Linked DNA regions of Drosophila melanogaster. The protein of the gene in region 4 interacts with the protein of the main gene of each other region in a pairwise test. Each region holds a gene or a part of one and is shown on either strand. Other genes may lie near its edges. The genes, in order: CNT2, CG15347, lqfR and CG1572.

The links.
Region 1: the proteins of CG1572 (region 4) and CNT2 interact in a two-hybrid assay, tested with the Drosophila melanogaster proteins (one large-scale study listed by BioGRID).
Region 2: the proteins of CG1572 (region 4) and CG15347 interact in a two-hybrid assay, tested with the Drosophila melanogaster proteins (one large-scale study listed by BioGRID).
Region 3: the proteins of CG1572 (region 4) and lqfR interact in a two-hybrid assay, tested with the Drosophila melanogaster proteins (one large-scale study listed by BioGRID).

Annotation. Positions count from the first base shown.
Region 1 is NT_033778.4:9,076,800-9,082,874, reverse strand, and holds CNT2 (concentrative nucleoside transporter 2), read right to left. Parts: upstream 4,155-6,075; 5' UTR 3,964-4,154; exon of another isoform or gene 3,934-3,963; intron 2,760-3,933; coding exon 2,706-2,759; intron 2,648-2,705; coding exon 2,452-2,647; intron 2,399-2,451; coding exon 2,197-2,398; intron 2,135-2,196; coding exon 1,370-2,134; intron 1,306-1,369; coding exon 978-1,305; intron 911-977; coding exon 730-910; intron 669-729; coding exon 583-668; 3' UTR 501-582; downstream 1-500. Other genes in the region: CNT1 (concentrative nucleoside transporter 1), read right to left, coding at 1-205, 257-401.
Region 2 is NC_004354.4:8,457,986-8,462,572, forward strand, and holds CG15347 (uncharacterized protein), read right to left. Parts: upstream 2,914-4,587; 5' UTR 2,839-2,913; coding exon 2,781-2,838; intron 1,398-2,780; coding exon 1,239-1,397; intron 1,185-1,238; coding exon 712-1,184; 3' UTR 509-711; downstream 1-508. Other genes in the region: Es2, read left to right, coding at 3,586-3,937, 4,080-4,587.
Region 3 is NT_033777.3:22,409,437-22,417,328, forward strand, and holds the start of lqfR (liquid facets-Related), read left to right. Parts: upstream 1-1,864; 5' UTR 1,865-2,148; coding exon 2,149-2,201; intron 2,202-3,212; coding exon 3,213-3,414; intron 3,415-3,473; coding exon 3,474-3,843; intron 3,844-3,924; coding exon 3,925-4,021; intron 4,022-4,083; coding exon 4,084-4,841; intron 4,842-5,106; coding exon 5,107-7,874; 3' UTR 7,875-7,892. Other genes in the region: CG13850 (uncharacterized protein), read right to left, coding at 1-212, 276-986, 1,050-1,227.
Region 4 is NC_004354.4:11,554,536-11,560,622, forward strand, and holds CG1572 (uncharacterized protein), read right to left. Parts: upstream 4,103-6,087; 5' UTR 3,953-4,102; intron 1,904-3,952; exon of another isoform or gene 1,875-1,903; intron 1,812-1,874; 5' UTR 1,766-1,811; coding exon 1,649-1,765; intron 1,577-1,648; coding exon 1,391-1,576; intron 1,261-1,390; coding exon 1,081-1,260; 3' UTR 515-1,080; downstream 1-514.

The DNA.
Region 1 (6,075 bases), on a different chromosome or scaffold from region 4:
AACAAGATGAACAAGACGATGAGAAACCCGTATCCATGACACCAGTTAATTTGGCACAATAGTTTTGGCTTAACCTCTGGCACTGGCTTCTCAGAAGTTTCTTCTGTGTCATAATCATCATCATCATCATCTTCGGTTGAGTTATCTATCGATTCGGTTGTGGCTTCCGAGCCCCTATTGGGCCAGCATTCTTTGGAATCCTTGTCTGGGTTTTTCCTCATAAACATTTACATTCGAACTCAAAGGGGTAACTTACCGTAAAAGATGAAAATGATTGTGGCTGCCGTAAAGTAAGATATGAATATGATATGGAGCAGCACATGGAGTACCAGATAGGTGATTCGCTTTGCCCTCGATGGCGGAGGCTTTTCCTCCTGTTCGCCTTCTATTGGTTCTGCCATTGTGTGTATAAATGAGAAACAGTGTGTAGTGTAAAGAAGTGTTGTGTGGATCTTATGACTTATATCCCACAGCCCCTTAGTAAACAAATAGGTAAAAATAATCCTAAACATCTTTAATAAATAAGAATTGTATTTTGCTAAATTTGATCAGCTAATTATCACGAACTACAACTTTAAGGAACTAAAACTGAGTAACATTCTTTCGACCCAACTTCTCGAATATCCTGTTGTAGTTCGCCCGCTCGTCATCTTCTTGTATAAGGATGCCTATAATAAAGTAAAACTAGTTAAAATAATAAGAAATATTTATGATCGTTTATCGACTGACCTGCAAAGCTGGCGGATACGAAACAGACTATGCTGCCCACCACAAACGCTCGGAAAGCCACTGCTGTAATGGTGGAGCGACGATGTGGTGCCATAGCACTGAGGGATCCGATAAGGATGCCCAGGGAACTGGGATTGGCAAAGCCGCAGATGGCGAATGTGGCGATTCCAGCGCTGCGGGCCTACAAAAATCGACCTCAAACGTTAGTTTCCAGATGAGCTATGGGTTTCACACCATCTACAACTTACAGTGATATCATTATTTTCGATGTATTGACCCAGACGCTCATAGGCCACAAACTCATTGATAATGGTTTTGGTGGCCACCACCTTGGCGATGATATCGCAATCCTCTTTTGGCACCCCCATGGCCCAGACCAGCGGGATGAACAGCTTAGAGAATATCCACTCGAAGTCGATTTGCTCGAGACCCACCAGGTAACCAAACCAACTGACCAGACCATTTAGGAAGGCGATGAAGGCGACGAAGGCGACTATGTTAGCGATAATGCCCAGAACAATGGGCACGGCGTTGCTGGCACCACTGGACGCTGCGTCCAGCAGCGAAGAGTCCTGTCTACAAGGATGACAGTGAACTAGTTAGACATTTGGGTTAAACTAGGCGCCTTAGAAATACGTACGATTTTTCCAGTTCAATTGAATCGGATGAGGTCTGGCTCTCCTCCGTTTCGGGCATGTAAAGCTTAGAGATGGCCAGAGTAGCGGGAGCTGCCATCACCGAGGAGGTGATCAAGTGCGCGGCCGATGCACCGAATGACAAGTAGGCCGCCAACACGGTTCCGGACACGGTCGCAAATCCGGACACCATGATGCTGTGGATTTCGCTCTTGGTCAGCTTGTTGATATACGGCCGAATGAGCAGCGGGCTCTCGGACATGCCAAGGAAGATGTTGGCTGCGGCCGTCACGCTTTCGCAAACAGTGGTGCCCAGAATCTGCTGCAGGATCCAGCCCAGTTTGATCACCACCCACTGCATTGTACCCATGTAGTACAGGATGGAGATGAAGAAGCTGAAGAAGAAGATAACCGGCAGGATGGCGAAGGCGAACACATTGTTGTTCACCAGGAAGTCGCCGAACACGAACTCGGCTCCATCGGTGGCATAGCCCAGAAACGTGGCCACCTTGTTGCCCAAGCACTCGAAGATTTTTCGTCCCACCTCCCAGCGGATGCAGAAAATGCCGAGCAGAAACTGGCACGTGATTCCCGTGATGACTATGCGCCAATTAATGGCTCTTCGATTCGTGGAGAAAACGTAGCCGCACAGGATGAAGAAGCAGGGTGCCACCAGGGACACCAGTTTTTGGGTCTCGTCCCGGCACTCGAAGTACACAAAGATGGCCAAAAGGGCCAGGAGCAATGCGATGCTGGCCAATGACACAACTCTGGGAAAACGAAGAGGAGTAGTTAGAAGATTTAAACATATATTTTCTTCATAATAGTTTACCTGGTTCTGCTGAAGTTGTGCCATTTCTTTGAAAATGGTTTGATATAGTTCCTGTGCAGGCTGTGCCCCACCATCGGCTTAAAGACATAGTAGTAGAATAGACCCAAATAGATGAATCCCAGGAGGAGCAGGAGCATTCCATAGCCCGTGCAGAAGTTGATGCCGCACAATGGGTTGTCTTTCCAATAGCACTCATAGTTGGCTGTAGATAAATAATGGTATACTTCTTGCTAATTATTTTGGCGATATACTTACTTATGTCGTGATAGTGGTAGGTTGCATATGAGAAGTACCCCACAACACACAGATGCAGCAGTACATAAATCGAGATCCTCACCAGTCGCGCTACTTTTGGATTCTTTTCAAAATATCCCTTTTTATTTGCCACCTCGCTGGTGTCATCCAGTGGATGTTCCGTGAATTCTTCCGAGTCACGGATGTCCAACTCCTTCTATGACATTTTATAATATTTAATCTGGTTTACAAAGCTTTTTTAATTAAAAACCTACATGATCCAGTTCGTAGCCATTGTTAATAGCTCCTTTTGATGATTCGGCTGACATCTATAACAAAAAACAAGAGAGAACGTTTAAGTTAAGTGTATCGACTATTATATACCCGGTACAACAAAGCGAGTTGTTGCTTTGGCAGCAAATTTACTTGCTATATTTTGTTAATAAGCTTTCAGCTTACTCTTAATACCTTTCTAATGGTCCAATTTGAACGAGTCCTATTTTTGATAAGCCTATCACAACATTATTTAGACGTTAAGCATGTGGGCAGACTTTAGCGATATCGGTGGGCGTGGCAACGGCTTAAAACAAACTTGCATGCCTAAAGTTGCCTAGAGTTCTATATCGAACTTCATGCGGACGGACGGACGGACAACTGACGGATCCTTATGAAGAATATACTATTTATAGGGTCAAATTCTTTCTATATATATTCTATATATATCTTATATACCCTAAACGAAACTAATATACTTAGAGAAAAACTACGAGTATGTGGTATTAATACCCAGCGACAAGTAATTTGCCGCAATCATAATCTGGCATTATCTCTTTCAAATTATTTTAGCCCTCGACTCGAGTGGGCATATATGCCAAGTGTCGCACAGCACAAGATAGGTGTGTGTTAGCTATCTGAATCAAAGTTTGGCAATTTGAACGATTCATGCCACTCAAAAGCAAGCGATAGGATCCGCGGATTCCAATTTTAAAATTTGCACATGGGCCAGGATTTTTGAATTGGGCACTTAGTTTTTCAGAGTCAATGACTAAACTCCAGCACGTGGATGGCCACTCAAATAATTTCCGGGCATTAACTTAAGAGGCCAACAACGGGACTGGGCTGTAAACTACAGCACAGGCTATAAATAATCCACTTCAATTCTCATTCCTGATAAATTCGGGCTGTAAATCCCATTCAATATAGTATAGTTCCTCGTTAGGTGGTCTTTCGGTTAGGATTTTCCATTCTGGGTAATCGAAACAGAGTTGATAGCACTATCAGAGTGGCATTTAGCCAAACTCGTGAAAGTTAATAAAGCACTTATATTTAATAGACCAGCTCTGAGAACATGGTTATATGTATATTCAGCCTCGAGAACACGTGTTTTTTGCCGATTATTGTTTTTTCTACAAAATTGACTAAAATCATACAGAGTTCACATTCAAAAACACGTTTTTTATACGAGTATTCAGTTTGTATTTTAAGTCTATATAATGATCGCACCTTGAATTTTTGGAACGACAGTTAATTCACCTTTTTACTGTTTGTTTTGCTTCGTATCTGATGAGTACTATAGGTTTGTTATGGCCGAAACGGGTTTTTAACGTCGTTATTGTCTGCCCGAATACAAATGACTGATAAATGCATCTGTTTAGCCAGACTAAAAACGTTGGCTAACTGCCATTGTAGCTCGTTGAAACTCGCGGCAAGACTAAATTCGGTTTGCTCCGAACGGGCCTTTTTAATACAATCGCTACTACACGGTATCTGATAAGAAGGTATCAGGTTTAGGATTCGCACTGCCTTTTTTCTATCTAATAATTTATGGTGTCTTGATACCATTTGGCCTTTTTGATTTACAGAAATATAAGTTGAGAGCAAAGCTTACCTCAAATTAACATTAAAGCTCGTAAGAAATTTGTAATTTCTCGATTTTAATATTTAATGAGGCTTTTTATTTCATCATAGCAATCAATGGGTACTTGAGTACCCAGCTAATACTGTGTGATACCGATTGGTAAGGTGTTAATTTGGTTTAACTACACAGTGAAATAATTATTAAATAAATATTAGCTTGATTGTACCAACTCAATTTTTACAAATTGAGTTTTAACTTAAAGTGCAATGCCGCAAAATGGATCACTGATGAAAAAGATCAATTTAATATCAATTAAAAAATTATAATATAAAATAAAAATAATAATTTAATAACATTTGAAAACAGGCAGATAATATTAGAATCCACATTGGTTTCAATCATCTTATACTTTTCTTATTTTAATAAAAAAAAATTTCTTTGAAGATATTATAAATAATATTTATTGAGATATATCAGTCTAATATTAAGTTAATGATGATCAATTGCCCTATTTTCAAGTAGGTTCGATTGATAATCTTTTTAAGTTCTTTATACTTATTTTTCCCTGTGCATCCTAATACACTTGCGATGGCAGTGTACCGCTAAATAGGCAATTGAGATGACATGTTGCCTGTTTTATCAGCTGGCTGTTAACAATGAGATGTTCTCGGCATGCGTTCTAGGCCGATATTAGTGCCAGATAATTTTCAGAAGGGCCATAAACCCCTCAGCAGATTGAATGCGATAGCGATGACGTTTGAGGAATCTGATAGCTATATTGCGATAGAGGAAGGCTACCGCGATACCGAGTCGTACACCCGCCCATTGATAAAGACTTCTATTGGTGGTCGGCGATTAGCAGAATGACACAACTGATTGGCCAATCGAAGGGTGCAAAGTTAAAGGAGGTTGCCAATCGTAATTCTGTGCGATTTAATAGGAAAGAGCATCGTATCTTATCGTCGAGCCCCTCGTGTGATAATCTGATCCAAAAGGGGTATAATACAAGAAAGTCTGTAGTCAACTGGCTTTATATTTGATTCGCAACTCTACACGTGTTCGTGCGATTTAAATTTATTAATAGATCATATTCATCTTTATATTTCATTTATCGACTTGCAAATGCACTTAGTAGGTATGGATATGAAGGATTAGGGATACAATGTGCTTTGACTGGATGAACATGTGGTTCTTAAAATCTTAAAACCAAAGGGTCAATGGGTTCCAATGGGGAATTTTGAGATTTAGCAGAAAGGCACTTTAAACCTAGTGACTTATTTATGATGTAACACAACTATATTGCGGGACTTTAATCACTTATCAATAGAATCGAAAATGCTTGATTTGGTTCGTTCTTGGCTTGCTGGTTTTCGAGGGAATTGTGCAGAAGTTAGGGATTGTAATGCTTCGATAAGGCATTGATTAATTTTGTTTAGCATCTAAATATATTACTTAAATTCGTATAAATTGTTTTCCGGGCTTGCCTTCCTCTTGAGGCTTTGACAATTTTTGTTGCAAAAATGTGCGACTTCAACCCCATCTAAATCACAGGCTTCTAGAGTACAGGAGATTTAAAAATAAAATCAAATTTTGACCGAAAATGGGCACTGCTTACAACGAAACTTAAAATATAATTTAAATAAGGTTACGCGGTTGGCAAACCGATGAACTAAAAACTAATTAAGTCAACTGGCCCTAAAGTTACAAATATAAAACAAGACATTATTTTAAGACCAGCATGAGTTCGGGGGAGAGAAAGTGGGGAATCGATGGGCGCGTGATTGTGG
Region 2 (4,587 bases), 3.1 Mb from region 4:
GTTGCCTATAAATAGTTAGTTTAGTTAACAAATCGCTGGAGCCGAGTACCATGCACAAAACTGATCTATTTCCGCACATCCAGTTCGATCGAATGGAAAATGGCATCCGGAAAAGCGAGCCGTGAAAAGTAATTGACAAACATTCGGAGGCGTCGACACATTTATGCACTCCTCATTTGCGCCGAGAGCTTCCGGTTTTCCAACTGCCACTCCGGTACTTGCGGCTCGTCGTCGATTTCTCTTGGTCTGGGATCGGAATCGAGGAATAGAGGTATAGGGTATCGCAATTGAAATCGGGACTTCATAAACACAGTGGCATGTTGTCAACTGCAGTGCCAACCCGTTGACACCTCGTAAAAAGTGAAATGTGTGTTCACTGTGTTTATGCATTAAAGTTTTATGCTTACTTTTGCTTCAAAAAACATTACGATGAAGAACTGTTCAAAGTGAGCAACGTTTTGGTTATCCCCCAATCCCAAAATGTAATAACTAAACCATTTCTATTTTTGTCTTCTTTAGTTTAGTTATCTTTATTAACGTTTTGTTCAAAGTAATGAAATAAACGAGTATAAATGTAACATCCCAGTGTATGTATGTATGTATAATGATGTTTTAGAATGTAGAAAATAATAAGACGGGAATTTCTAAAAGAACTGGGTCTGTGGCATGATTGACTTTCGTCCATCATTCGACTCTGGCCGTCGTTACATCTTAGAGTCTCCAGGCGGCGACAAGACCGCTGATCAGCAGCGTCATGGAGATGATCAACTGGGCACCGCTGTCGCGTGCCAGCGGAATGTTGGTATCATTGGCCAGCAGAAAGTTGCAGCCGCGTCCCTCGCACGTATAACAGTTGCCATCCTTGACGCACTGCTTCCTGGCATTCGCCGAGGTGAGACAGCCGCGCTGGAAGGATCCGTCCACGGTGCGATTGCTATTGCGAATGTAGCACTTGTCGCCGAACTTGTACAGCGGGCAGATCTTGGCCGATACATAGGTCTCTGTGGCGCAGGACGACGAGGTCGAGTTCCCTGTGCACTGTAGGCACATGAGGCGGCTCAACGGGAAGGTGTTTCGATTGCATCCCTCGCTGTAGGTGCACAGCTGGCACAGTAGCTCGTTGTTGCACGAATTACGCGTGGCGTTGTCCAGATCGACGGCACAGCCGCGAATTGTGTAGCCATCTGCGAAAGATACCATTAGATGGTGCAGCCAGGGTAATCAATGCGATAACATACCCAGGACGCGGGAATAGCAGTTGGAGGATCCATCGGAACAGTTGCGATTGAGCAGGCTCAATGGATCTGTGGCGCAGCGTTCGTTGTCCTTCGAATTGCACTGGATGCATCCATCTGCAAATTGAGCGAGTGGAACGGAGCGTTTCGATTGAGTCATGCCTGATTAGATTAGATCAAGTTTTTCGTAATCGTTGCGTTGGCATAATGACATCATATTGATTTCGTGCAAAGTCTGCCTACCTACCACAGTGCATATGTGTTTGAATGTGTTTGATTATTTCTTTTTATGTATCTACCTGCATGCCTTATTACAATGACGCGCACTGTACTCGGATGGCAATTGTCTCGATTTTCCACAATCGATTCTTACGAACATGCCCATGACAAGTGAATCAGCAAACTTGTATGTTTTTGATAAGAAGAGTCAATTTACATTGGCTATAAATCGAAAGCTTGCAAGCAAATTATATTTAGCATATCAGGTGGCAGTAAATATTAAATATTTACCAAGTGTTTACATGAAAGTACGAATGTACGAGATTATGTTTCAACTTTAATAATGAAACGGAATAACTATGTACTTCATCACAAAGAGAAATTAAATTACCGCTGACATACAGCTGTGTTCATAAAAATAGCAGTGCTTGAGTTTAAAATAAAAAAATCTTAAGATTTCAAGTTTTAATGGGAAAATTTTTTTTATAATATCATTAGGTATTTAATTTTAAACAATTCAACAAATGTTTCACATTCATTTTTTTAATAGTTTCGAAAATATAGATTAAAACAAGCAGAAATAGCAGTGCTATGAAAAAATAGTAACAAAATTCAACTTGACTTAGAACGAACTTATTCTTAGCCGATTTGCTTCTGCGTTTCTTTATTTTTTATTTTTTTAATTTATTGCCCTTTTAAATATACAAATTCAAATTCAAATTCAAACTCACTTTTTAGAAAATATTGATCATTTCGGGAGTTTACGTTGGTCAAAACCAGACACTGCTATTCTGTTGAACAGCCTAAAAGTTGTGATTTTGCTCAAGAATGTAAATAAAAAAAAGGATAGCATAGAAAACTAACGACATTTTCTTTTTTTCCCTATCTACACATTCCAATTCACAAAAATAAGTGGAATAAAAATTCGATCCCGAAACATGAAAAAAAAACCGTCGCATTTCTTAGTTTCTCTTGCACTGCTATTTTTTTGAACACAGCTGTATGTACACATGGTTTAAATATATGGCGTACAATTTTCACATCTTTTTGCTGGCTCACTCACACTTAGAAAAAAAAGAATATGTTTGCCCAGTTACAAAGCTAAGAACCTTTAAAAGTTTCTTTGGAAACTCGCCTATTGATAGCTTATCATGAATTTATTTCCGTGTCCATGATATCACCGCTTATCACACCTTATATAAAACACTCAATAAGTTTTTCAATTCAAAGAGCAAAAAGAAAATTAAAAAAAAAAAAATACGATCCCGATGAAAATTAAAAGTGAAACTTATTTTGGAACAACATTTAGGCAGGTACAACATTTACCACAACTGATGTAGGCCAAAAACGAGAGGGCTGCAATCACCAACAGGTAAAACTTCATGGCTGATAACTGATGTAACTAATTTCACGACGATCGAATGTTGCGACTGGTTACGGAGCTGAACCAGAACTAAGGGAGTAGAAAAGGTTCAATGAGTGATTTGAGTTTTGCCGAGCTTTATACCCTATTCATATATACCTACAGCTTTACGATAAGGCACCACGACAACAGTAATTCTATTGGTGAGTTGAGAAAAAAAAGTGTTTTGAAATGATTCACGACGCTAAAGTTGTCGCTCTTTGGCATACATTCATTTTCATAAATTATGTTCAGCGGGTTAGTCAGCGCACTTGCGAAACTTCCAGATGTTTTAAAAATATATCTTTAATGTTTGCAAAATCGTAATAAATTTCATTTTCAAGTGCTAGCTAATCGCATTAAAATTTCAATTCAAATGCTAGCGCGCATTTGAATGCGTTCCACACTTATCGATAACACGTCGATAAGTACTCCTTGCCAGAGTTTTTAATTAATATAGTTTAGCAAAATATCATTTTGTTTCTATTTAAATTTAAATTGGTTCATACTCACCAATTTATTGTAAAGGAAGTCGAAACTTTTAAGCTGATTAATTTCACCTTTTACATCCGAGAATTAAAAAAAAATACAGGGAAATATTTTGAACCGACGTTTTGTTATTCTGAGTGAAACTTAAAACGGTCACACTTTGCTGGCAGACAAAAATATTCACTTTTTATATCTAAACAAAACAAAGTTATTTACGAAAAAAGCGAGATATAAACGGCAATGAGCGCCACGACTAGAACACCTGCCACACCGGGGACACCTGGCACTCCCGGCAGCCTGGCCATGGAAGTGGCCCGCGTCCAGAATTCAGCACTCGCCGAGTTTAAAAAGCCCACGGCGATGGTGCGCCACAAGAACAAGCCAAAGATCCTTACCGAGGAGAAGTACATCGAGGAGATGTCTAAGATCATCCAGCGCGACTTCTTTCCCGATCTGGAGCGGCTGCGTGCCCAAAACGACTACCTGGACGCGGAGTCACGGCGCGACTTTGTACAAATGGCCGAGATTCGGGAGCGCTACAGTCTGGGCAGGATTTCCGGGACAGGAAGAAGCACCAGCCGACGGAATAATGGTGGGTATTGTACTCAATTGGATGAACACCACTGGCACATCGCTGTCTGCTACTATCTTACTTGAAATCAAGTCTGATGAAATTATACATTGGCCAAGTTCAATAGATAGACCCATTAACTTTTTGAATTCCTTCATTTCAGCCATGTCCCCGGCCACATTTGAGACACCAGTGAGTCAGGCGAAATGTAGCAACACCCCATTGCCAAATTCCCGGGCCACAGACACACCATTTTCCACGGACGGCTCCGAGAAGAGCGATGCCGAGGGCAGGGACACCACCGCGAAGCTATCGCTGGACGCCTTTCTGCAGAAGTACACCAGCGAGGATAACCAGAGCTTTCAGGAGATCATCGAAACGGCCGAGGCCAAGCTGCGCCAAAAATACGCAGTACTGTACAACCATGAGAAGCTCTCCGCAGAGCAACTGCAGCGGGCCCTAATGCTGCCCAGCATAGAAACGCAATTCGAGGAGCCAGATCCGCTGAGAAAGATCGAAACCTGGAACTACACCAACATGAATTCCATTATGTACGTGCCCGATGGCGTGGAGTACACAGAGGAGGAGCGCGTCCAGTTGGCCGAACGGAAGCAGAGCATCCAACACAATGCCACCAGGCTGCCCGATGAGGCAAAGCATCGCGAAATGGA
Region 3 (7,892 bases), on a different chromosome or scaffold from region 4:
CAACATTGTTAGCGACCACACAAAGCTCAACCACTCGGATTGCTTGGTAAAATCCTCGCGGACAATAGACTTTACTAGCTTTTTGCTCACTTCCTCCAATTGAGCGCTTTTGAAGTTTAGCAGGGCCGATGTTAGGAAATAGGCACTGAGATCTTGGGGGCGACAGATTTCACTATTCTTTAAAAGCCACTGCGTAAGTGATTCCAAGATATCTACCGAAAAAAATAAATTACATTAATCACAACTTTTTCTGATGTGTTTATATCCGAGCTAACCCAAATCCCGGTATCGTAAAATGCCCAGGCTGGTGATAATGGATCCCACAACGGCAGACTTCTCCACATTCTTAGGCAGCGCCGATTGCACATCCGCACACACTTTAGCGCCTAGAACAGAATCCTGGAAATTCAACGTGGACATAGCGAACAGCACATCCCCCGCTTGCTTTAAATCCAGCGATTCCGACGCGCTGCTGATATTAAAGGCCAGGGAGCGCAAGAGAGGAGTACTACGCCTCTTCCGCTGGGCCAGGGTGCTCATCACCTTGACCATCTGGGGCAGACTGATGCTAGCTATCAGCTTAGCGGCCTCATCGTCACCAGCTACGCCAAGCACCGTGTTTAGGTCATCTGTTCGGAAGCCGGAAATCCGCTTGGCCGTCCCATTGTCACCAAGGTCCTTGTTGTTAGCATTATTATTTTTGGGAACCGTCCGGCCCAACATCCGGCAAATACGTAGGAACCTTGTGTCGTTCTCGAATTCCGAGATCTTTACTCGATTCAAGGTGCTCCACTCGGCCAGTATGGAGACAATTCTGAGGGCATGCTTCCTCGAGAAGCCATTGTTGTTCTCCGTGATAGTTAGCAGTCCATTGACTGTCTTTGCGTTGATGATACGCTCATCGATCTTGCTGGAGGCTTGGCTTTTGCTCTCATCTTTGGGATCGTCGTTTCTAAGGGATTCGAAAGCAGCGGCTACCATGTGGCCTGCAATAAGGATGGAGTGAATACCAATTAGTAAGGAGGACAACAATTTTAGAATCTACCTACCCCTGGGCTTTTTGGCCGCCTCCTCCACAGCCGGCGCGCGTGCTTCCGGCTCCACTGCATCCGATTGTGCTCCAGTGGGCGCCACGGGAATGCCCGCTGCCCGGACACTGCTGCTGAAGGCTGCACGGCGGTACAACTGGGTGACAAAACTGCCGGCAAAACGTTGTAGTCCCAACATTTTCAGTCAATCCACACGCTGCAAGAGACCACAGAAGTTTACATAACCTTTTTGTTTACATTTTTAGCGGCCAGGAAGGGGCTTTACAAAGCATGCCAATGATATAGGCTTATATTCATGACTTGAACCGTCTTATTTCCCCTGATATCCTTCACGTTTCATTTAGTATTTTCATTTATTTTAGTAAACTTTCCTATTGAACGTTGAGAATCCACAGATGACAGCAGCGTTCAGCTGATGGTAGTGTAGGGTAAGACCCGTCGGCTCCATGCAAAGCTTTTGTAACACTGCGAGCTGTGCTGCCAACTCAGCATTTTCTAGCTAGATCTGGCGTTTTTTATTCCGGAACTTAGGTGTCATTGCATGTGCTTTCGGTTATTTGGTAAATGCTTCCAATTTTATTACTATGCCGATTTCTCTTTGTGCTTTATTAATAAGAAAACTAATGTTTTATTGAACTATTTCGGTTATTGGTAAATGGTTCCCATTTTATAACTATGCCGATTTCTCTTTGTGCTTTATTAATAAGAAAACTAATATTTTATTGAACTATTTGGAGCACAAATTTAAAAAGCTAATTTTCATTAATAACGGCTACAGCTATTTATCGGATTTAGCTACACTTGAACAGTGAGAGTTGGAAACACTGTTTGCAACACTGGACACGACAGCTCACCAAATATTAGCTGCTGTGATTTTGTTTTACAATTTTCGTTTAAATTTTTACATTTTTGTTTGCGGAAAGCGCGGGTGCGAGACAGGTGCGCCGTTTCCATGCAAAAGTGCAAATCGTCAGCTGCAAAACAGTCAGAAAACGGCACGCCAAGCGAAAACGAGTTCGACGTCTTGTTGTAGTTGGATTTTCCAGCCACTTTTCGACGAGATTGTGTGAAAAATTCCGTAGCATTCAATAGTCTCAAAATGGTGGATAAATTCATCAGCATGTGGAAAGTGCGCGAATTGGCGGACAAGGTGTAAGTGATCAGGAATATATAGGATATATCCATACGTATATGTAATGGGATGTGTGTATAACATTCCCTTAACGCCGAAGTGAATGTTAAGACTCCCACGCCCCAAGTTTTCTGATTTCCCGCCACGCCCCCAACTCCTCAAGGATTTCAAAAGCCCTATGTCATGCATAAATCCCTAATAATTCATAAAGATATCTTACTTATGGATCAACTGCATCGGGGTGCTGGATTAGGTTCACGTTTTTAACTGCTTTCAAGGTTGTTCGCCATTTCAAGAGAGCTTTACCAACACAGCCACATTCCGATATTGATATCCATGTGTATATGCGCCTGTGTGTGTGGGGCTTTATCAAGAAACAATTTGTTTGCTTTCGACTGCCCAAATATAACAATTTTTTCACCTGTGTTAACAGCTCCACTTCCAGGCTTTCCAGTGAAATGGGTGTTTCTCTTTCCCCCATCGAATTATTAATTATGGGTGTCCCCTTTCACCTGCGCCTTTTATGGGGTAGTTATTTCTAAAAGCGAGCCTATAGTTCGAATAAATAATGGTGGCTCGATAGCCAACACCGAACTCATTAGGTTAAGTGCGCGGGTACACCTTTCCTAGGGCTTATCTCGAACTGATAAGGAACACCTAGATGGCCCATTTGCGACAATTGGCCCACTTCCATCACGTTTCGAACGTCTATCAACGTCGCAGCCAAGCCATGCGTATTACTTATTTATCTGCATCTTTGCATTGTATATCCATATCGTCACACAACGTTTACTTAAAAATACCAGTTCTGATTAACTGGCCCTCTATCTATTTGATTATCTATTCAATTGAGTTTACGGAATGTCCCAGTCAATATGCCTTTTTTCTTTACTTAAGTATATATCAATTATTTAAGGAAACAAGCTCGGATTAAGATTTGTATTTACATATGTACAAAAGTTCTACGACTAACATCGTGAATAGTTAATAGTTACTTTAAAATAAAACAATGACTTCGTTCCCACTTGCAGCACCAATGTCGTGATGAATTACACGGAAACGGAGGGCAAGGTGCGGGAGGCCACCAACGATGATCCTTGGGGGCCTACAGGACCCCTCATGCAGGAATTGGCCTATTCCACCTTCTCATACGAAACATTCCCGGAGGTGATGTCCATGCTGTGGAAGCGCATGCTGCAGGACAATAAAACCAACTGGCGACGCACGTACAAGGTAACGTTTTCAGTTTAAACTAATAAATATAGAGCTAACGAGTATATATTTACTTACAGAGCCTCCTTCTGCTAAACTATTTGGTGCGAAACGGCTCTGAACGGGTGGTAACCTCCTCTCGGGAGCACATCTACGATCTGCGCTCGCTGGAGAACTATACATTCACCGACGAGGGCGGCAAGGATCAGGGTATTAATGTTAGGCATAAGGTACGAGAGCTTATAGACTTTATTCAGGATGATGATCGTTTGCGCGAGGAGCGCAAAAAGGCGAAGAAGAACAAGGACAAGTACATCGGCATGAGCAGCGACGCCATGGGCATGCGAAGCGGTGGCTACAGCGGCTATAGCGGTGGATCTGGAGGAGGCGGCGGTGGCAGCGGTGGCTACAATGATGGCGACTATCGCTCTAGTCGTGGAGACAATTGGTGTAAGTAAGAAATTTTTATTTTTTTAAGATTTTTGTTCAAATTCTCTATATGTAATATTAATATTGATGATTTTTCTTCAGACTCCGACAAAAGCGCCGACAAGGATCGGTATGAGGATGATGATACTCACTACGATGGAGAGCGAGAGGGATCCGATAGCGACTCACCCAGTCCAAGGCAAGTTTTCACTTTTCCGATTAACCTGCTCTATATCCTAATGTACTCTTTTCTCCTCACAGACGTAACTATCGATACAATGACCGTGCGAGTCCTGCCGAAGTAGCCAGCGAGGCCAAACCTTCCAGCCTCAACATGAACATTCGTTCGAAGACCGTCAGTTCCCCTGTCTCCAAGCAGCCCACTTCAACGGCTTCTGCCAAGCCAGCGCTGTCCCAGAAGAAGATCGATCTGGGTGCGGCAGCAAACTTTGGAAAGCCAGCTCCTGGCGGTGCTGCTGGCATTCACTCACCAACTCACCGTGACACTCCCACCAGCGTGGACTTGATGGGCGGCGCTTCGCCATCGCCGTCTACTTCCAAGGCAAACAATAATACGCAAAGCAATAACAACGATCTGCTGGACGATCTGTTCAAGACCTGCTCGCCACCGCCGGGGCAGGAGAAGACGCTGAACAGTGCTGCCGTGATTGTGGATGACGATGATGACTTCAATCCGCGTGCCAGCGATGCTAGCCAGCAGGAATTCGGCGACTTCGCCTCTGCTTTCGGGCAGCCCTCGGCGGGATCGACGATCAGCGAGCCACCATCAACGGGCCTGGTTCCGGCTGCGAACGATGAGTTCGCCGACTTTGCGGCGTTCCAAGGCTCGACAACGTCGACATCTGCGCTGGACGGTAATTTGCTGAAGACTGCCACGCCGGCGAACGATTCGTTTGACCTGTTTAATTCAGCTCCCACCTCGACGGCAGCAGCCACAACGGCTACAGATCTCCTGGCAGGCCTGGGCGATCTGTCCATTCACCAAAGCATGCCCATGGGTGAGTTGTAGTTTGATTCTTGTAGCTTAACATATTATTAAATTTGAAATAGTTTTAAGATTAGAGTAATTGCATTGGCCTTAGTCACTTCATGATATATTTAGGTATCGCTGCATGAAGGTGCGCCTTCCGAGCTTGACTAGAGCCGTTATCTCTACCTCGAGCTCCACAGCCCACACAAAGATACACTATCTCATCCTCCCACATATAAACGGCAACATTTTCCAATCGGATGCACTCGTTCTCTTCTCGTTCTCTCTCGTAGCTGTTGAAGAGCAGTTGGCATCCAGTAATGATTCGATGTCGTCGGCTTCCCCACAGCCACCATCTGAGGCAATGCGTCTAGCTTTTTCCAAGGCACAGAAGCAGCTGCGCGATTTAATGCAGGTCCAGAGCGCTTCAGCCGTTGCCCAAGTAGCAGCTATTTTGGGGGAACTGCATAACTCAAACGCACTGCCCGGATTTACCACACCTGAGCAGTTGGTTGGCCTCGATCGTCAGACGTGCGACTGGACCTGTCTTGCCCATGGAGAGTATGCCGCATTGCTGAATCAATTGACAGAGCTATTCAGCCAGGATTGGCCAGAGCCATCGCAGGATGTTGAAGTCGTTAACATTTTTAAACTGGATCACAGCTTTGATTATGTATCGGTTGCCTTTGAGTCGCTTCAGACTAGATTGGATAAGTTTCCCAGTACTATTAGTTCCTTACTGGAAAACATGGTTAAGGATGAGAGCCTAATTTCTATCGCCTTGCTGCACATCTCCCGCCAGAGAGCTTCCTTAATGCAGCGCTTTGCGCGGACCATCAAAGTTATGCCGGAAAGAAAAGTGGAGGAGCTGGATGCCCAGGTGAAAGCGTTCTTTCAATTGCTAATCAGTCTGCCAGCCCAGGTGGCCAATCGACTGGGTAGAAGACTGCCAGAGACGTTTGCTCCAGTTTCTTATCAGAAACTCCTGCTGCGCCAGTGGCTGAAATCCTTGCACTTTGTCCTACAGTGCGATGATAATAGGGAATACTTTGATTTGGAACCGTACTCCTGGCTTTTGTCACAGGCTATTAACCTTATTTACGATGTTTCAACTTTGGAAAGCCTCCTACGAGTACTTAAGGACTACGCGGTGGCTCCCAGAGGAAGAAAAGTAGTTCATACCATATTAAAAGAATTGGATCCCGCTGCTTGCCTAAAAACAGCACAATCGGCTCTTTCTGCGGGATTGAACCTGTACGTTCTTATAGGTGCTGCCACTTTGGAGACACCTCATTGGAAGCATTGCCTGCTCCAGAAGTTGCCTCTTCAACGCACACCCGTGGATAATAAGCAGCTTATAACATTGGCCAGTTATCTTAACGCCGTAGCTCCTGCTCAACTGCAGGTTCTTTTGAATCAGTTGCTTGGAATCTGGTCGAAGCGCATTTCCTTGCAGAAACTGGGCAGCCAAGAGCACTTGGCTATATCCAAATTGCTTGTGTTGGCGGCAAAATGCCTTTGTGGGAATCTTGTAATGGATTTGAACATCCAGCGTCAGCTCCACGATGGACTCAGCAACCATTTGCAGTCCCCAGATGCACTGCAGCGTCATGTGGGAATGAAGACCGTGGAGCTAATTTTCAATTTTATTGCCTTGCCTGATGCGAAGGAGGATGATCGTCTACGATTTGAGTACGATTCATTTAAGGATACATTTCATTGGCACATCTTCGAAGAGTTTGATGAACTTGGCCAGTTTGAAAGCCCGAGCAAAACTAAGCTAGATGAGAAGCCTTGTGAGGATCAGCTGAAACAATTAGAACTTCATCTCAGTGACTTTATGAGTACTACAGAGCAGAAAGAGCCGCATAAGCCGAATATTGAAATACAAGCGAATCCCGCTCCCGAAAATCAGAATGTAAACATGCAGCTGGACTCGGATGACGACGAGCCACTGGATGAAGACGACGATGAATTGAAACCCTATGACATGTCCAACGATACAACCACCACCATTGATCAACGTCCCAAATTCGTCATCGACTTACTGCACTTGCTCCGAGAAAAGGTGGAGAATTATCAGGTGTTCGAAGGAGCCTTGGGCACAGCGGAGCAACTTATACGGGGTCAGCTGGCCAAACATGATACTCAGTTGGCCTTGGATCTGCTACAACTTTTCTTGGTCATGGAAATGCAGTTCTACTATGAGCAATTCGAACGTACGCAATTTAAGTGTTGCGTGGCCATTTGTGTGGCTCATCCTGGTCCCTGTGCCGAGTACCTATGCCGCCAGTTCCACACGGATAACTCCTTCTATTCGGCCAGTGTCCGTATTCTGATCCTTCAGGTACTGGCAGCAACGGCGAAAGAACTTTCTGGCGATGAAAACATGCAGAATGAGATGGAAATTGTGGATGTTATACCACCGGCAGCCAAGCATCCCCGAAAGTTCGAATTTCAACAGGAGGAGGAGAGTCCGGCCGCTCGTCTGGCCGCTGCGCAAAGGATCATCCGCGACCGGCTGCGGGCCAAGACGAAGAGATATTTCAGCAAGCCCAAAGCTGGAGATCAAATGGAGAAGGCCAACCCATTTCACCCCGTTGCCGGTACATTTTTCTTCAGTTTGGTGAGGGGACAGCGCACCCGTCAGATGCTTTACGTAAAATACGAAAATATTTCTCACGACATCGACACCCAGTTGCTTGTTAACCTGCTAAACACCATGTCCGTGTTGGTTATGTGCTCCCAGAACTGTCCACTGTTGCCAGCGATGACCCGCGAGATCTTTGACCTATGCGCCTTTGTGCGTTTCAATGCCGAGGCCCGCGTCCGAGCGGCCACATTGCAGCTAATAGGAATCGCCTTGGTAACCACACCAGCTCATGTGCTGGCCCAGCACTTTGCGGAGTCATTGAACGAACTGCAGCGCTGGCTGAATGACTTCATAAGATCGCCATTGGTGGGCGGAGAGACTTCGGAGGAGTGTCGTGAACTGGCCCAAAGCATTTTGGACACCTGCTACAAACTCTTTGATACAGCCGCCATGGAACAGGCTGCCTAACTTGGCCATCAAAAAGTT
Region 4 (6,087 bases):
CAGCAGCGAATATAATTAAATGTAATTCTTTTTTTTTTCGATAATCATATCTTAATGCTTGATATACGAGTTGTATTTATTAGGCGAAACGTTTGTGTGGTCGGCGATCGAAGGAGGGTCAGTTAATTGTTAAAGAAAAATGCTTAATTTATCGTAATCGATTACCCTTTTCTTTTATATTTAATACTTGCGTGTACTTCTCTTAATTACTATGATTTTTTTTTTTAATACACCTAAACCACTTATTTGTGTTTACTGTATATGTAAATTAGTAGTTAAAGGCGAGGGCTTTATGCCCATCAACAGATAATAAAAACTGCGCCAGAGGGAGCGAGAAGTGTGTTTTAATTATTATTAGTAATTAGTAATTTCAATTGATTTTTTGTGTTTAGAGAATCTATTTCTATGAGAAGACAAACAAAGATGCAAATTCTATTATATATTATATTATATAGTAATTATTTTATAGATAACTAATTTAAAATATATTCAATAAAAACCATAAAAATTACCACCACGTTTTTTCTATTACTCTTTGGTATTAAATTAAATGAAATTATGATTTCATCGAATTTATATATTTGCTTGCTAACAGCAACATTTCCCGCATGGCCCAAAAGTATGCAACACTTTTTACGATCGGTTCAAAATCAAAAAGTACAAAGTACACTGGCCAACACAATTAAAGCATGCCGACAATAAAAAACTATTGCAGCTGAAGCAACAAATAAACAAACTACTACACATTTAGAAAAAACATATAGACACACATCTTTATTCGAATACATGACAATCTGTTTGGTACAAAAGAAAGTGAGACAAAAAAAAAGTTTTGTATATATCGGTAAAAGTACAAGTAAGTGTAACTAGCGCCAAAGAACGTTTCACAGTACAACAAAGATTCCGCCGCTTGGCACCCACTTTCTCTACATCTATGTTTGTATATCCCTGGGCTCTCGCCTCCTTCTCCTGCTTCGCATGACCAGTGGCTAGAGTTGGTTGTGGGAAGAACAAATGCTTCGAGATTGCAAATTCCACTTGAATGGCCGAGTGGGCGGTGGGTTTTGGGTGCTTTAGTGCTTAAATGCCGCGATAGGATCGGTGGGCCAGGAAGGCGCTGATGAAGTACAGCACCGCATTGACCAGGCCCAAAACACCGGCTGCCATATAGGCGTCGTGCTTTACATCGCGCAGCTTGAGCAGCAGGATGGTGGACGAGACCAGGATCAGGATGGCGGCCACACTGTGGTAAATCAGCTCCTGCAAAAAGGTTAATGGTCGTTGAAATGCACGGATTGCAGATACAAGGCGAAGTATATATATGTACGTTTGGAGTTCCATGGCTAATACTAAAGTATACAAAAGATATAGCAATGATGATTATACTCACATAGATCGTCTTGGCAATAATGCCGCCCGTGCTGAGCGACGTGAGGCAGGCGAGGAGTAAACAGAACGTTCCTATCATAAAGGTAACGGCCATCAGATAATGGAACAGATCCTGCTGGCCATAGAAGTATCTGTGGTAGTCCTGGTAGTTGAACGCCAGAATTCCCACAATGGAAGCACCAATGATCTGCGCAAAAAATCGTGATGGTTGTTACATTAAGTTCAAAGTTGCTATCGAATTCTGGGAGCATTAACGCACCAGCTCGAAGAGCTTGAGGATGCCGGGGAAAGTCTTCAGATAGCCCGTGTTCAGGACAATGTAGGAGGTGTTGGTGGTGCTGGTGGTGGTGCGGGTAATGGTCACTGAATGCGACATCTTCGCTCTGCTTCGGTGGTTCTTTTCGGGGGGTTAAAGGTGGGGTCTGCAAAGACAAATAAATAAATGAATAAACACAAAAAAAAAGTAAAATATTGGATGCTAATACCAATACAGAAATATAAGAAACTTCGGTGATAAGAACTGAAATTAAATAATAATACTTATCAAATTGTAAATGCTTAAAATTCGTTGAAATAAGCCAACAAATTTGCTGGTGATTCATGCAAAGTATATTTGCATCCATGTGTTAATTTATGGTTTAATTATTTGATTAAAATGAGTAAGTCTTAGGTTCTTTTTCTTTCACTTATATTCCCCGAATATCGTAATTCATATGGTGTGTTTTTATTTATTTATTGCTTTTTTTTTTTGTATCTTTTGTACTTTTTGGCCAGCTGTTACAGATCGAACGCCCTTGCCACGCCCATCGATCTGCAATGTATCCATACAATGTTTGTGTATTTTTGGCCATCCATTTGTTGCTGTTTTTGTTTTGGATTTTTGCTTTTTGTCTAATTTTAAAACAATTTTCAATGCCGGCCTCGCAGGCGAAAAAGCGCCAAATGCGTTATTGAAGCAGTGGGAGAATCGGAAAAATCTATTTACTTGACCGACGAGAGAAAACCCCCCCGCCCCATACAGAACCACTCCTCTCCCCCCGCGCAACGATTTCCCCCCTTTTTGGGGATCGGCAGCGAACAAAATAGATGAATCGCTCTCGTCTATATGTTCACCTAGGATTGGATATATGTAAGTCTGTATGTATGTACATATATGAATGTATGTAGATATGTATGCATAAACGTCATGAACTTTATGGTCTGCTGCCTGCTGTTCGTTGTGGAAAAGCTGAAGGAAAACTGAAGAAAAGCGCCTCGTTCGTAATTGGGACACACACACACACACACACACACTTTAAGTATACAGATGCCGTGGGTGGGCATAATGGTTATAGGGTATTCGCAAATGCCGTGCCAGATCTGGAAATCAGATTGTGACTATAAGTTCTGACTTCAGATTTGACGATTGGTAATCAAGCCGAATAACATTGTAGGCAAACAAATAAAACCAGTTTAGCTTAAAACAAATAACAAACGGAAGGATAGTGAGATTAATTCCAAATTAACTGCTCTGCTATAGCTATATTTGCTATATTTGGCTTAAAACAAACATGAGTTAAATAAAAGCCTTGTAAGACCCATACAGAGGAGTTGAAAATCGTAACTAATTTTATATTCTTGATATTTTAACTAAGCAAGGAAGAGATCAATTTAGAAAATACCAACGAATTATATTGTTTTAGGAAATGTGCTCATACAAGATTGATGGCAATTGGAATGGGGTTGGATTTCAGAACTTAGACCTTCCTCAAAATCGGTGGCGCATTAGACGAGTTCAAAAACGATGACGCCACCGGTGACGCAATAGTTTACACACAATGTGAATGATGCTCATCGAAATTCACAAAAGTGGTAGAGGCACATACATACACATACATATATACATATGTATATCCCAGTGGCATGGAAGGGGTGCGGCCCAAATTCCGAAGCGTAATACCGAAACCAAAAACCGAAAACCAAAAAAAAAAATAATAATAAGAAAACAAAACAAAGCAAAAACCAAAATAACAAGAACCCATGTGCGACATTTTATCGGAATTAAACAAAATACATTCCGAATATTGATTAGATGGCGGATTTCCGCCGAAAAGCGGTATGATATCATGCCTATGATGTACGATAGTTTAATTCGCATGCCAAGCAACTTGGCCCAAGCAACAGGTTGTTGTTTTGGGCCCTTTAAGATTCCTCTTTGGAACCGGAAGAGATGAACAAAGACGCCGCTTTTGTCAATTTCCCAAATGACAACAACTAATCAATATACATATGTACCAAAAGGCAAGCTATCAAATGTTCTGCTGATAAGAATATTTCCCCACTGCAAACGCGACTCACATTCGGTTTCGCATTTTCAACTCTGGAAATGATATCATCGCCGTCAATAATAATGCAGTTTAATGCTTGTAGGAGAAAAAAAATTAACAACATATTAATGCACAGCCAAGTACCGAGAATTCCAATTCCTTTTGCTTTTCGAAATGTACAAAAAAAATATATAAAAAAAAAAAAAAAACAATAAAACACACATATAGTCCCAGCGGTAGAAATGGGTGGTATGTACCTCTTTCTCTCTCTGTATATCTAAAGTTTTCGGTATGGATCTTACTCTTACTTTTCTCAAAATTCGGCGTAGGACTCAGCCAACTGGTTTTCCTCGCACTTTTCTTTCGACTTTTGCGTCTTTTCGCGCGCACGTTGCAAACGAAACTGAAACCGAAACTGAAAAATAAAAGCGTTTGGCCCGCTGCCTCTGCCACAGTTTTCAGCGTCGCAGTCGACGCAGCCGAGACGAAAACAAAACAAGACCCAGCAGAAGCCTTCCAGGCCGATTTACTGCGACTCGACTTGGGGGATACCCTGCATCACTTAGAACACTTCACAAGCGAATTAGGTTGGTAGTACAAAACATGCATTGCAATTTTTTAAATATGTCGCTTTTTGGGCCAAAAAATGCGAAATAATGGTCCAAATATGGATTGTTATACCTCGTTGAGTTCGTATTCAAAATTCTACTCAAACTGTGTTTAAAATTTGGAATATTAATTTTATGCCATTTTTCGCAAATTTTGATGATGTTACCCCTTACCAAAAATGCGAAAATCGACCCAAAAATTAATTTTTCAAAATCCATCAAAAAGTGATAGAGATAGTTAGTAGTGGTAATTAGCTGCACAAAACAGTCATTCCTGCACTTTTATGACCATTTTTAGACAAGTTATGATAAAAACACGCTTTATTTAAATCGTATTTTTGGCCGAAAGTCGTTTTCCAGATTTAAAGGAAGAAAATATTTAGTTTTTTGGCCACAACATTGGAAATAATGATCCAAATATGGATTGTCATACCTCGTTGAGTTCGTATTCAAAATTCTAATCAAACTGTGTTTAAAATTTGGATTTTTAATTTTTTGCCATTTTTCGCAAATTTTGATGATGTTACCCCTTACCGAAAATGCGAAAATCGACCCAAAAATTAATTTTTCAAAATCCGTCAAAAAGTGATAGGGATAGTTAGTAGTGGTTTTTAGCTGCACAAAACAGTCATTCTTGTACTTATATGACCATTTTTAGATAAGTTATAAGAAAACACCCTTTGTACATATCGTATTTTTGGCCAAAAGACGTTTTCCAGATTTAAAGGAAGAAAATATTTAGTTTTTTGGCCACAACATTGGAAATAATGATCCAAATATGGATTGTCATACCTCGTTGAGTTCGTATTCAAAATTCTAATCAAACTGTGTTTAAAATTTGGATTTTTAATTTTTTGCCATTTTTCGCAAATTTTGATGAATACCGAATATGCAAAAATCGACCCAAAAATTAATTTTTCAAAATCCATCAAAAAGTGATAGGGATAGTTAGTAGGGGTTATTAGCTGCACAAAACAGTCATTCCTATGCGTTTATGACCATTTTTAGACAAGTTATGATAAAAACACCCTTTGCATAAATCGTATTTTTGGCCAAAAGACGGTTTTCAGATTTAAAGGAAGAAAATATTTAGTTTTTTGGCCACAACATTGGAAATAATGACTGGTCTATGCCACCCGGATGCGTTTTCATCCAGGGTATCAGCAAGGCAATTCAGCCAACAACGCCAACAAGTTGACTTGACTGCTGGCTAGCGCGGTATAAATGACGCCTGACGTCATGATGTCATCGAGTGAGCGGCAGAGCAGCCAAGCAGCGGAGCGGCCAACCTTAATATTTGTAATCTTCAAGTGCAACTAGGCCCCCGGCCACGCCCCCTTGACACTGTTCATTGGCCGCCCACGGATTGGCAATTAAAAAGAAAGGAATTAAACTTGCTAGTGGAAGCTCCTCGGACTTTTTCTCTGACTCAGCGCCACCTGAAAGTGGAGAGTGAGAAAAGTGGGTGAGGGCGATAGAGAGTGCACTGAAAAGAAATACTAGTGTGTGTTCATATTAGAATTAGAATTATTATATAAATATGTAAGATATGCATAATCTATCTAGTACCACAAAGTATATATGCACACTGAATTTATATGATTAATAATATCTGATTGATCTGCTCGTACATTATTTATGGATAACCCCATTTATAAACAACATATCTATTACCAATGATATCCAATACCATGTCTATAACCATTTGTTTATATCATCAATTACAAAGCCATAAAAACTTTGATAAACATAATATCACTTTCGGTGAAGTAACGCGAAATTAG